Linked DNA regions of Canis lupus familiaris. The protein of the gene in region 2 binds, or shares a complex with, the protein of the main gene of each other region. Links are inferred from orthologs where the notes say so. Each region holds a gene or a part of one and is shown on either strand. Other genes may lie near its edges.

Region 1 (3,646 bases), on a different chromosome or scaffold from region 2:
CATGCATTTCTGGGGATACAGACTGTTAGAATTTCCTTGTAAGGTAATTTGGTAATATTTGTCAGTATTTCGAATGTATGAGTCCATCAATCCAGCAATTTCACTTCTAGGGATTAATCTTAAAGATATAGTCATACAGGGACACCCTAGGTGGCTCAGTGGTCTGCCTTTGGTTCAGGTCGTGTTCCCGGGGTCCTGGGATCAAGTCCTGCATCAGGCTCCCCACAGGGAGCCCGCTTCTCCCTCTGCCTGTGTCTGTACCTCTCTGTGACTCTCATGTATAAGTAAATAAGGTCCTAAAAAAAAAAAAATATATATATAAATATATAGTCATACATGTATAAATGATCTATATAGGAGGGGTTTTATTTCTCTCTCTTCTTTTTAAGTTTATTGGGGCACTTGGGTGGCTCAGTCATTAAGTGTCCAATTCTTGATCTCAGCTTAGATCTTGATCTCAGGGTCATGAGTTCAAGCCCTGTGTTGGGCTCCATGCTGGGCATGGAACCTACTTAAAATTAAAGGGACACCCGGGTGGCTCAGCGGTTGGGCATCTGCCTTCGGCTCGGGATGTCATCCTGGGTTGGGGGATCGAGTCTTGCATTGGGCTTCCTGCGAGAAGCCTGCTTCTTTTCCCTCTACCTATGTCTCTGCTTCTCTGTGTCTCTCATGAATAAATAAAATCTTACCAAAAAAATGACAGTTTTTTTTCTTTCTTAATCTCTACACCTCGTCTGTGATCAAACTCACCACCCTGAGATCAAGAGTTGCACACTCCTCCAACTGAGCCAGCCAGGTGCCCCAATTGAGAGATTTTCTTTGCAGCAGTATTCATAATAGTGAGATTGGGAACCTAAATGATTATCAGTAGGGTATTGGCTAAATTCAGTGAAGTACTCCATGGCTGGAAAACGAAAATGAGAAAGCTCTTTGTTGCTATCTTCAAAGTAAAGTAATAAAAAGTAAGTTGCAGGATAATATGAGGGAGCCTATAATATGTAGTATTCAAGCACTAGTTAAAAAGTATTAGTGTTAACATATTTTTGTGAAAATATCTGGAAGGACATATAACTAAATAAAATTGATTTTCTTGGGGAGGAGAACTGAATGGCTAGGGAATGGATAGAAGGAGCTTTTTGCTGTGTTTTTAAAGAATTCTCAACCATGTGTGTATAGCCTATGCAATCATAGGTACATGTAGAGCTCCTTAGTTTCTGTGACAGTAAAGGTAAATAGAGTTCTATTAATGGTACAGCGCCTGGGGGCGTTCAATTGGTTAAGTTTGCCTACTGCTCAGGTCGAGATCCAGGGTGCTGGGCTCAATCCCAAGATCAGCTCAGTGGGGAACCTGCTTTTCCCTCTTTCCTCTGCCTGTGTTCATGGGCATGTGTGTGCGTGCATGCATGTGTACGCTCTCTGTCAAGTAAATCTTTTTTTTTTTTTTTAAAGATTTTATTTATTTATTCATGACAGAGAGAGAGAGGCAGAGACACAGGCAGAGGGAGAAGCAGGCTCCATGCCAGGAGCCCGATGTGGGACTCGATCCCAGGTCTCCAGGATCTCGCCCCAGACCGAAGGCGGGGCTAAACCTCCGGGCCACCGGGGCTGCCCTATGTCAAGTAAATCATAAAGAATGAATACTGGTACAAATCCTAAGATTTTACCGCTTGTTATTAATTTGACAGGTGATTTAATTTCTTAATTTTTTCATCTATATAATTAGTATAATAATGAGTTATTTATAGGTTCCTTGAGGGAATAGAGGCAAAGTATACAGCATAGTCCCTGGTATATAGAATACTTCCTAGTTATAAATCTGTTGTTAGTCAGTAAGCCTTACTCTGGGTTCTGCCTTCACCCTGAAGTTCCTATATAGAAACATCTGTTGGACGCCTGGGTTGCTCAGTGGTTGAGTGTCTGCCTTTGGCTTGGGTTGTGATCCTGGAGTTCTGGGATCCGGTCCCTCAACGGGCTCCTTGTGGGGAGCCTGCTTCTCCCTTTGCCTGTGTCTGCCTCTCTCTGTGTCTCTTGTGAATGAATGAATGAATAAATAAATAAATCTTAAAAAAATAATTGTTAAAGTAAGTTTCTCGGCTGATATTTTTCTGCTTTTAGGTCCTCTTAGCTTATTTTGACTCAATATAACTGAGGCCTGATTGTGGAGTTGTGAGTACCTCGGTGCTGCTCCCATCATGTTTCTATACAACTTGACCTTGCAGCGAGCCACAGGCATCAGCTTTGCCATTCATGGCAACTTTTCTGGTAAGATTTCTAGTTACTGTCTTTCTGAATTAAACATGTTCAAGATTAAATAGTTTCATGCTTCAGATTCCATTTCCAAATTCAAACTTTTTTCCTGAAATAAATTATAGAGAAAGTATCTTAATTCATCAGACAACATCATTTATATAATGCTTTACAGTCTCCAAAGCCATTTGAAGTACTTGATCTTATTTGATTCTGAGGGGACCATTGGGAAGGTGACCTGATAAGTAGTGGCCTTGAGCAAGTGAGAATGGATTGGGATGGATAAGAGTGGGATATCTGATAGGCTTGGAAGGCATTTAGACATTAGGTAGTAAAGACCTGTACTAGGAAAGTGGGGACAGATCGAGAAGAATATGAATTTCCAGCCTGGGCAGCAGAGAAAATGATAGTAACATTGATAGCAGGTTAGTTGGGACTAGAGAGGGAGTTTGGGAAGAAGGAATTTAGTTATTTTAAACCAGTTAAAAGTCGATGATGACAACATATCCAAGTGGAATTATGTAGCAAACAGGGAGAGATGGGGGAAAATTGGCTATTAAGCATTTAGAAGTATCAATAATGGTTATGAAGGCAAGTGAACTTTCTTAGGACTGACTTTAGAAGTAAATTATATATTTTACATAACAGCTTTAAAAGTTGTTTGAAATAATCCATCAAATTGCACAAAAAGTTAAAATGATTTTCTAGAACAATAGCCTTAAAGATGAGCTAGAAAGAGCCTTTGGAAATACTTAATTTTACGAAGCTAAACATTATATGTTAATACCATTTGTATACATCTCCTAATTATGCGGATTAATGACATTTTAGAAAAACTAAATGTTTTTTAAAGAACTATGTTGACCATTTTTAAAAGTTTTTTCTTTGATACCACTTTTGTTAAATCCTATCAATCGTGGGAATGAAATAGAATAAGAAAATTTAAAATACTGAGCCCCCGACTTACTTACATTTATTTTGAGGGGCATTTTGATCCATCCAGGTTATTTTTGACTAGTTCTGATTGTTCGTGATCTTTATTGTTTTGGTAATCTAGGAACCAAACAACAGGAAATTGTTGTTTCCCGTGGGAAGATACTGGAGCTGCTTCGCCCTGACCCCAACACTGGCAAAGTACATACTCTGCTAACTGTGGAAGTATTTGGTGTTATCAGATCACTCATGGCCTTTAGGCTAACGGGTGGCACCAAAGACTACATTGTGGTTGGCAGTGACTCAGGTCGGATAGTTATCCTGGAATACCAGCCATCTAAGAATATGTTTGAGAAAATTCACCAAGAAACCTTTGGCAAGAGTGGATGCCGCCGCATTGTTCCTGGACAGTTCTTAGCTGTGGATCCCAAAGGGCGAGCTGTTATGATTAGTGAGTAACTTGCTC
Region 2 (4,415 bases):
GTGTGAAAGCAGGTACTGTTAATACATGCCTGAGAGGCCTTGCTTCAGGTGTGCTTACCACACTTACTAGCCACCAACTGAGAAGCCAAATGGACCTCAATTTCCTTACCCACAAAATGGTATGATAATAGAACCTCCCTTTAATTCAACCAATATTTATTAATCACCCACTGTGTGCCAGGCCCCATTCTAGGATTAAGTGAGAAAATGCAAAATGGCAAATTCACTTCCCCACTCCCTTAATCTCTTGCATTTATTTGTAAGAGACAGTGGATCTCTAAAAAAAAAAAAAAAAAAGAAAGAAAGAAAAAGAACCTGATGTTAGGAAACTCGCGTACAATTCGCACAACATTTTGCATTTACTTTCAGGGAATTCATAAACCTTCTAACATCCACATATTGACCTCTGTTATGTTAAAAAGTATTGCAAAAAGACCTGGTACACCTTGCTCTCACTGTGGAAACCTCGGCGGGCCTTCACAGGTACTCCTAACAGCCGCGACGAGGGTACTATTTTTACAAACAACTAAAATCGAAAACTGACATACCTAATCACTTTAGTTTCGCAGACAGTAGCCCAGGATAAGAACTTCACATCTCATGCCTCGAAGTCTAGTGCTTTTCCAACTGTGAAAACAGAAGGCGCCTCTATTCCGGGCTAGACTAAAGTAGAAGTAAAGTTGGATTTCTTGGACTTCTTTCCTAGAAAGAAGGTGCATTAGAGGCCGGCAATTAGGAGCGGCTCGGGGGGGGGGGGGGGGGGCTACTTGGGCAGGAGCGCAGGCCTCTTACAAAAAGCGACCTAGAGAAGTCTCTGGACTCAACTGCTACATCCGTAAAATGGGGCAGTAACTTCTGTCCCGCCTTCCCTGCGGCGCTTGGTTCGCGGTGGCTCAAAGGAGGGAAAGACGCAAAAGCTCCACAAGGGCAAAGCAGACAGGCGGCCCAGTTAAGACCACTTCTGAGAACCTCAGGCCGCTGAGGACGGGAACGCTCACGCGTCTCTAAGGTTGGCTTCCGGTGCCTCAACTGCACTCTCAGGCCCTGGGGGAGTGGGAAGCCCTTTATAAATCGGGATGTGGAAAAGAATGCTCCTAATGGCCTTGGGACAGGGCCTGGCAGTCAGCAGCGCGCAGTGGATATCCGCTGGATGAATCAATGACGGAGTCCCCAGAGAAGAACTTCTCCAGTCTCCGCGGCTCCGACCCCCGTCCCGCCCGGGACTGCCACTCACCGGGCACCGAAGCCCTCCGCTCCCACCGTCTCCGCTCCGGGAGTTCGTCGGGCCGCAGCGACTCCAGCCTGCGCCAGCTGGACTGCTCTCAAAGCCACGCGCCGCACCGGAGCCCAAGCAGGTTGAAAATGAACCTCGCTAGGCAAGGTGGAGAAAAGAAAATTTCGCGCCAAAAGCCATGGCCCCGCCCCCAGGCTGCCCCACGTTGCGTCACCAGCCAGCCCTCTAGCCCCGCCCACCTACGCGAGGCGCGCGCCGTACGTCCGCCAACGTGCCGCGGCCATCATTGATTCGGTGGGCGACGCTGCTGGCGGAAGGAAGTTCTTTCCTTCGAAGCATTTCCGCTTCCAGATGGTGGTCTGAGTTGCTTAGGCTCCCTCCGCCTTTCTTGGTCTCTCTCCGGTTCGCCTTAACCTGGATGTGACGCATTAAAGGACCCGACGGAAGTAGAACTGAAGGCGTCCTAAGATGGCGAACCGTACGGTGAAGGATGCGCACAGCATCCACGGCACCAATCCTCAGTATCTGGTGGAGAAGATCATTCGGACGCGAATCTACGAGTCCAAGTACTGGAAAGAGGAGTGCTTCGGGCTGACGGGTGAGCGGGCGCGCGCGGACCCTCCTCCACCCTGGTGGCCCCGTTCCGCGGACGGGGCGCGGGGTACCGGCCCCGGCGGGAGACTGGAGCGGAGTCTGTCAGTCACACAGAAAAATCTAGCACCTGCTGTGTGCCTGGATCGATGTTGGTTGGGCTTTGGGGACACGTGTGAGTCTGCTGCGGCCTGATTCTGAGGGTGTCTGTTGGGTTCTCTGCGTCTATTCATATTTAACGATAATCTCCCGAGTTCTCAAACCCTCTTAAACTCGGAGACTCTGAAGTCCTTAAAGGAACCTTAACATACCTGAAGCCCAGTTCCTGGTCTTTCGTTCTCTAAATCTGCACGATAAAAATAAATAAATAAAAAAAATAAATCTGCACGATGTGCAGTTATTTCCACGTTCGGGTCCTAATAGAAACCTTAGTTCTTCCGAGAAGGCTTCCAAGCCTTGCAGTCTTCGAATTCTGGCTCCTGATTTTAGTAGCTCTGCTTTGCCGGTGAACGATGTATGCCTTCTTCTGCTGTAGAACGGGTATCTTGCCCACCTCAACGATTCTAAGGAGTAAAACGCGTCATGTATAAGGAGAATTTGGTATGGTTACTGGTGTGTATTTTAAGAAGCACCCAGCACTACTCTGTGCCATCACTGTCGCTGCCACGACCGCTGTGTGTCCCTGGACGTGTCACATCGTTTTTCTGAGTCACCGTTAAATTTTGGAGTTATGTGAATTTTGGGTGAATTTTGAGGCCTTTTCTCACTGCAGGTTCTCTCCTTGTATGATCTTACCTGTAGATGCCTTCAAATTTCTCTCTTCAGCCCAGATCGCCCTCTGAGATCTCAATCTCTAATTAAACAATCAGGCCAACTCAGTATGTCCAAAAGTGAACGTGTGACCTTTTTCCTCCAATGCTAGATTATGTTCCCTTGTTGTATAATTGTATTGCATCCTGCATCTTATTTTAACTATTTGTCGCATTTCAATTATTTTTCCAATGCTTTCTGCCTTGCCAGACTGTAAACTCTGTAAGAGTAGTAATTTTGTTCTTCTTTATCATTCTACCTATATCTCTAGTATTTAGTACCTGGCTGTAAGTGTCAACTGTAATGTTGAATGAATTAATAAGAATTTATCTTAAAGGAACTTGAAATCTGATTTATAAAATGATTTTCCACTAATGGAATCTCTCATACATTATTTGCTGTGTAACATGTAGATGTTAACATTTATTTGTACTGTCTCATTTAACACTCACTATAGCCCTTAAACTTTTACCTTTACTGTTCAGATTTGAACTGACAGTCAAAAAGAAAAAAAGGTAAAAAGACTTGCCCTAGAGTTCATATAGCTAGTGTTTATTTTTGAAAACAATTGTGGAAGGTTGCTTTTTTTTTTTTTTTTAAGACTATTTGAAAGAGAAAGACCCAGAGAGCACAAGTAGGGAGAGGGGCAGAAAGAGAGGGAGAAGCCGACTCCTGCTCAGCAGGGAGACTGACATGGGACTCAGTCCCAGGACCCTGAGATCATGACCTGAGCTGATGGCAGATGCTTAACTGACTGAGCCACCCAGGCATCCCTTGTAGAAGGTTATTATCCCTATTCTGTGGATGACATTTACTTAAAGTTTTTTTTAAAAATTTTTTTTATTTATTATTTATGATAGTCACAGAGAGAGAGAGGCAGAGACACAGGCAGAGGGAGAAGCAGGCTCCATGCACCGGGAGCCAGACGTGGGATTCGATCCTGGATCTCCAGGATCGTGCCCTGGGCCAAAGGCAGGCGCCAAACCACTGCGCCACCCAGGGATCCCGACATTTACTTAAAGTTATGTAGTTATTGGGTCGTATACTGTTGCTGTTTCTTTTAGCTCCAGATTTGGCTGCTTTTCTCCAGACATAATGGTGATAGACATGGACACTGGAGATAGACTGCTTACATGTAAATCCAGGCCCTGCTACTCTCCGGTGGTGGACATTGAGCAAGTCACTTAACATTTCTTAGCCTTCATTTTCCTTATCTGAAAACAGCCTCTGTGCAGGAATTTCATGGCTTGTTGTGAAGATTAAATGAGATAATATGACATGCTTAGGAGAATACGTGGCATATAGTCATCCTTTCTTGTATATTGGCTGCTGTTATTATTATTACTATTAATACACACACTTCTAATATTAAATTGTTGATTAGTATTGAGGAGCACCAAACCTTGAACTAACTTATCTCCATTTCAGACTGGGAAGAGCTTGGCCCTAAATTATCTGAGATGCCACTTTGTTTTTGTTTTTGCCTTTGTTTTTTTTTTTTTTTTTAGCTGAACTTGTAGTGGATAAAGCCATGGAGTTGAGGTTTGTGGGCGGTGTCTATGGTGGCAACATAAAGCCAACTCCTTTTCTGTGTTTGACCTTGAAGATGCTTCAAATCCAACCTGAGAAGGATATCATTGTGGAGTTTATAAAAAATGAAGATTTCAAGTGAGTGAAATGTTGACTAGCTAATTTAAAAGCTTCAATTTCAGTGGGCCAGAATTTGGCTTCGGTTAAGAGGAGTGAAAGCAGTGTATCTTGTTTCAACAGAGTTCTACTC
Region 3 (4,157 bases), on a different chromosome or scaffold from region 2:
TTGAGCAAGGCTCTAGGAAGGTTGCCCCAGGCTGGGACCATTGAGATAAGAAGTCAGATACGTGGCCTTCCATTGTGGCTTCTGAACCAGATTCTGGGAAATTTGTCCACAACCTGCCCTTGGCTTGTCCAGGGAGTATTGGGAGATAGCAAGGAAGGGGCAAATGGCTGCCTTCTCCTTTTGAGGACAGAGATGCTATCCTAAGGGCATAGGAGTGCTCATGGTTGTGGCATCTCTAGCTCAACTGCTGTTAGTAGAGTGAGGCTGTCTGTTTAGTAATTTTGAATGTTGAATTTAATAGGTGACTTGACAAGATGGTCTAATCTTTTGAGATTTTGGAGACCATTTCCTGTGCCAGAATTACTGCTCGACTATGTTCCATGTTGTCCTATGGAGGTGGCTGTTCTAGAAATGATTGGATAATAAATAAAATACTAAATGTAGTAGTTTGAGTGATTTGTTATCAAGAGATTGGTTTGCATAGGCCATAGAAAACCCTCAAGTGTACACTGCACAATTCTGAGAACTAGGAGCAACCTCCCTGGGGTGATGCTTCTGGATTCAGTGAAGGAAACAGTCAGTTTTCCAGTGCCCCCACTCCACCCCCCATCAACTTGGAAATACAGTCACGTCTAAATGAACATAGTGAGATGCATGCCAGAGTTCACCCTACAGCGTTGCTGATGACTGGCCTTTCCAAGTCCCATCATGTTGATTAAATTGTGCCCTATTGATTGAATGATTATAAAGTTCCTCAGTTGAAAGAAAAATGATTTAACCGAATGATGATAGCATTGCTTCAAAATAAAGAGTGTGCAAAAATTGCTTTCTATATATGCGCTGGAAAGGCTGCAACTTAGAGACACTGGGTGTCGCGGGCCATATCTTTAGTGCATACAGGTAAATAGGGCAGCTAGAGGCTCCTAATAATTCCTTCAGCCTTAAAAATTAGAAACTTGGCAAACGGATGCACAGTTGCTTAAGACTAGATCAAAGGGCCCTGATCCAAATTGCTTCCTTGTTTATAAAATAGACCAGTTGAATTAAATCAGATGATTGTTTAGAAAACCAAGGCAAAAGACATTAGTACGCGCCCTTACTTCCGTATTGCTTCATGCTCTCCATGCGCATGCACCATTTCCGTGGGTCAGAGGAGGGGCCGACGACCCTGTTTTAGAAGTCCTTAGCTCGTTTAGAACGCGAAACTCTAAGCTTATTGGAGGGCAAGCTTGCTTTACGGCTCAGGGCCGCTTTTTACGTCATTTTCCGGCTTCCCATTCACTTCGCAGTGAAGATGGCGTCGGGCAGCGGGGTAGGTGTTGTGTGTGAGGAGGCTTTGGTCGGGGGGCAGAGGGTGCCTTCGTAGCGCGGAATATCCTGCACCCAACTGGCTTCTCGACACCTCCTTGCGGCCCAATGGTCCGAGTTCAAGAGCCTCCTCGTAGGGTCCTGGCACAGGGTCTGTGGAATCGCGGAGAACTCTTGGGTTGGGGTCCTGAGGCCACCTCAGCCTTCTGGTGCGGTGTGGAGAGTCTTCGCTCTCGACAGGTCCGGGGGGTCGCCTTGCCGGCGTGGACGCGGTTCCCTCCGTTTCTCTAGGGTTCCGATATGATTAGCGACGAATCTTGAGCGCTTTTTTCCCTACAGACAAAAAACTTGGACTTTCGCCGAAAGTGGGACAAAGATGAATATGAGAAGCTCGCCGAGAAGAGGCTCACGGAAGAGAGAGAAAAGAAGGATGGTGGGTGCCTACTCCCTAAAGGGCAGAGGTATCGTAGAGGTGAAGCCATAGCTGGAGAGCGGGTGGGGAGTTGAAATGCGATGTCCTGGTTGGTACCTTGTGTAACCTCTGGCTGAATGTTGCCTCCCTGGTTCTCCATTTCTTACTGTATAAAATGGGAGGAAAGAGATGGACTGAATATACTCAGAGGTATTTCCCAGCTCTGTTTCCTGTGCTTTCTTGCCTTCTTTTTGCTTAGCTCGTTTTGTACTTTCTTCAAGTGCAGAGAAGAGAGGAGAAGCCTTAGTAGTGACAGAGATGTGGAGTATTTTGCTGCTATGCACTACTCCTATTGAGGAAACTCTTTCCGTTGAAGTCACTTAAGGGGAAGAATATAACTGGTCCAATCAAGTCCTTCCCCTGTGGTCTGAGAAGAGTGAGGGTACTGGGAGGAATGTGTGATTGTTTCAGCTGGTGGTTAGTAGTACTGTTTCTCTGCTTTGTACAATGTTACGGAGTTGATTCTCCTCTCCTAGTTAGAGAATCCATTATACAAAAAGAATCCTTATTTTTTCTTATGCTTTCACTTTACTTTCACACCACCTTGCACAAACTGATCTTTTTAGTTTTGATCTAATTTGTACAGTAGCAAGTAACAGATATTGCCTGAATGTTGGTCCCATTTAGAAAATCTTCCCCAGCCTTCTAGAGATTCTTTTTTGTGTGTTACACTTGGGGTATCTGTCTGAAAGTATTACTGAGTGTCCTTGCTTTTCTTTTAAAAGTTTACTCTTTGTGAAAATTAATTCCTTTCTTCAATTCAGTTAACAATAAAAAACTTTGTTTTTAGACTTATTGGCTTTGAAGTGGAAAAAAGCTATGTAGAGTTTAGGGATTGCATATCATTTTTTCCTGTGTTGAGATTCTCCCTAGTTGCTGCTACAAGTGCTTTTTGTGCCCCCTGCTTCAGGCTTAAGAAAGAAATGAAGAGTAGACATCTGTGTATTGGGTTTCATGCATTTCTTTTCGTTTCTGCTTAAGGAACTCTAATAATAAAAGGACTTTCTTCTGTCTTATATTTTAGGAAAACCAGTACAGCCAGTCAAACGGGAGCTTCTCCGGCATAGGGACTATAAAGTGGACCTGGAATCCAAGCTTGGGAAGACAATTGTCATTACCAAGACCACGCCACAATCTGAGATGGGAGGGTGAGTGACTTTTCATCTTTTTCAGGAGCCAAGACTAGGTCTAATAAACTGTGTTGATTTTAGCAAGTGTCGAGGAGAGGTTCTCTGGCTCCAGGATAGCAATCATGTTACTTATAATTCTATCTTTATTTTTATTTATTTTTTTAATAGTCCTACCTTTAGATATTTCTTTGTGTCACTCCTGTTCCAGGCCTCAACTAAACATGGTAGTGTCTCTAGGAGGAGTTACTCTGTAGACCTCTTCATATTGGCACTGTAACTCTTTCTTAATATCTGAAGAGGAAGAAATGAAGGAAAGGACTCCTGAAAACATTTCTAGGGGAGAGATTTCTCGAGCTAGAATGGAGCCTAGAAGCTGTTGATGGTGAATAAAGGGAGTTGAGGTTCCAGACTGGCTGCAAAGGTTGTAGTTGTTACGGATTGCTTGGTTGTACACTTTCCTCCTAGACCAAGACTATGACCCATGAGAAGAGGTGTCCTGTAAGGACTTTTGTTTTTGCCCACCACTACTACAGTATTCATTTACGTTTTCTAGCAGGAGAGCAAAACAGATAGCAATGAGTGACATGTCTGAATTGCTTAGAAAACTTACATCAGGGATCCCTGGGTGGCTCAGTGGTTTGGCGCCTGCCTTTGGCCCAGGGCATGATCTTGGGGTCCTAGGATCAGGTCCCATGTCGGGTTCCCTGCATGGAGCCTCCTTCTCCCTCTGCCTGTGTCTGCCCCTCTCTCCCCCCCTCCCTGTTTCTCATAAATAAATAAATAAAATCTTAAAAAAAAAAAACACCTCACATCATTCTTTTCTGTATTAGTTACCTATTCCTGTGTAAATTAACTAACTCACCAAAATTTAGCAGCATAAAACAGATAGCTAACAATTTGGGTAAGTAATCTGGAAAGGCTTAGGGTTTCACAAAGCTGCAATGAAGGTGTCTGCTGGGTCTGCATTCATATGAGGCTTAAGTGGGGCTGAATGATTTGATTGAAAGCTCTTTCATGTAGTGCTTTGGAGGCCTCACTTCTTTGCCCCATGGGCCTCTAGTGCTGTTGACAATAAAGCAAGTGGCTTCCCAAGAGTAAGACATGGACAGGCTATTTATTTATTTATTTTAATTTTAATTTTTGTATTTTTTTTTAATTGGAGTTCGATTTGCCAACATATAGTATAACACCCAGTGCTCATCCCGTCAAGTGTCCCCCATAATGCTCGTCACTCAGTCACACCAACT

What was found.
Region 1: PRPF38A (region 2) and SF3B3 share a complex: the UniProt entries of both Homo sapiens proteins name them as parts of the spliceosome B complex. The link is inferred for Canis lupus familiaris from reciprocal best matches to the Homo sapiens genes PRPF38A and SF3B3.
Region 3: PRPF38A (region 2) and ZMAT2 share a complex: the UniProt entries of both Homo sapiens proteins name them as parts of the spliceosome B complex. The link is inferred for Canis lupus familiaris from reciprocal best matches to the Homo sapiens genes PRPF38A and ZMAT2.

The regions. Positions count from the first base shown.
Region 1 is NC_049226.1:77,067,277-77,070,922, forward strand, and holds part of SF3B3 (splicing factor 3B subunit 3), read left to right. Parts: intron 1-2,115; 5' UTR 2,116-2,192; coding exon 2,193-2,262; intron 2,263-3,304; coding exon 3,305-3,631; intron 3,632-3,646. UniProt on the Homo sapiens protein: Component of the 17S U2 SnRNP complex of the spliceosome, a large ribonucleoprotein complex that removes introns from transcribed pre-mRNAs.
Region 2 is NC_049236.1:9,005,624-9,010,038, reverse strand, and holds the start of PRPF38A (pre-mRNA-splicing factor 38A), read left to right. Parts: upstream 1-1,560; 5' UTR 1,561-1,702; coding exon 1,703-1,832; exon of another isoform or gene 1,833-2,388; intron 2,389-4,143; coding exon 4,144-4,303; intron 4,304-4,415. UniProt on the Homo sapiens protein: Involved in pre-mRNA splicing as a component of the spliceosome.
Region 3 is NC_049223.1:34,979,263-34,983,419, forward strand, and holds the start of ZMAT2 (zinc finger matrin-type protein 2), read left to right. Parts: upstream 1-1,248; 5' UTR 1,249-1,294; coding exon 1,295-1,312; intron 1,313-1,647; coding exon 1,648-1,741; intron 1,742-2,804; coding exon 2,805-2,928; intron 2,929-4,157. UniProt on the Homo sapiens protein: Involved in pre-mRNA splicing as a component of the spliceosome.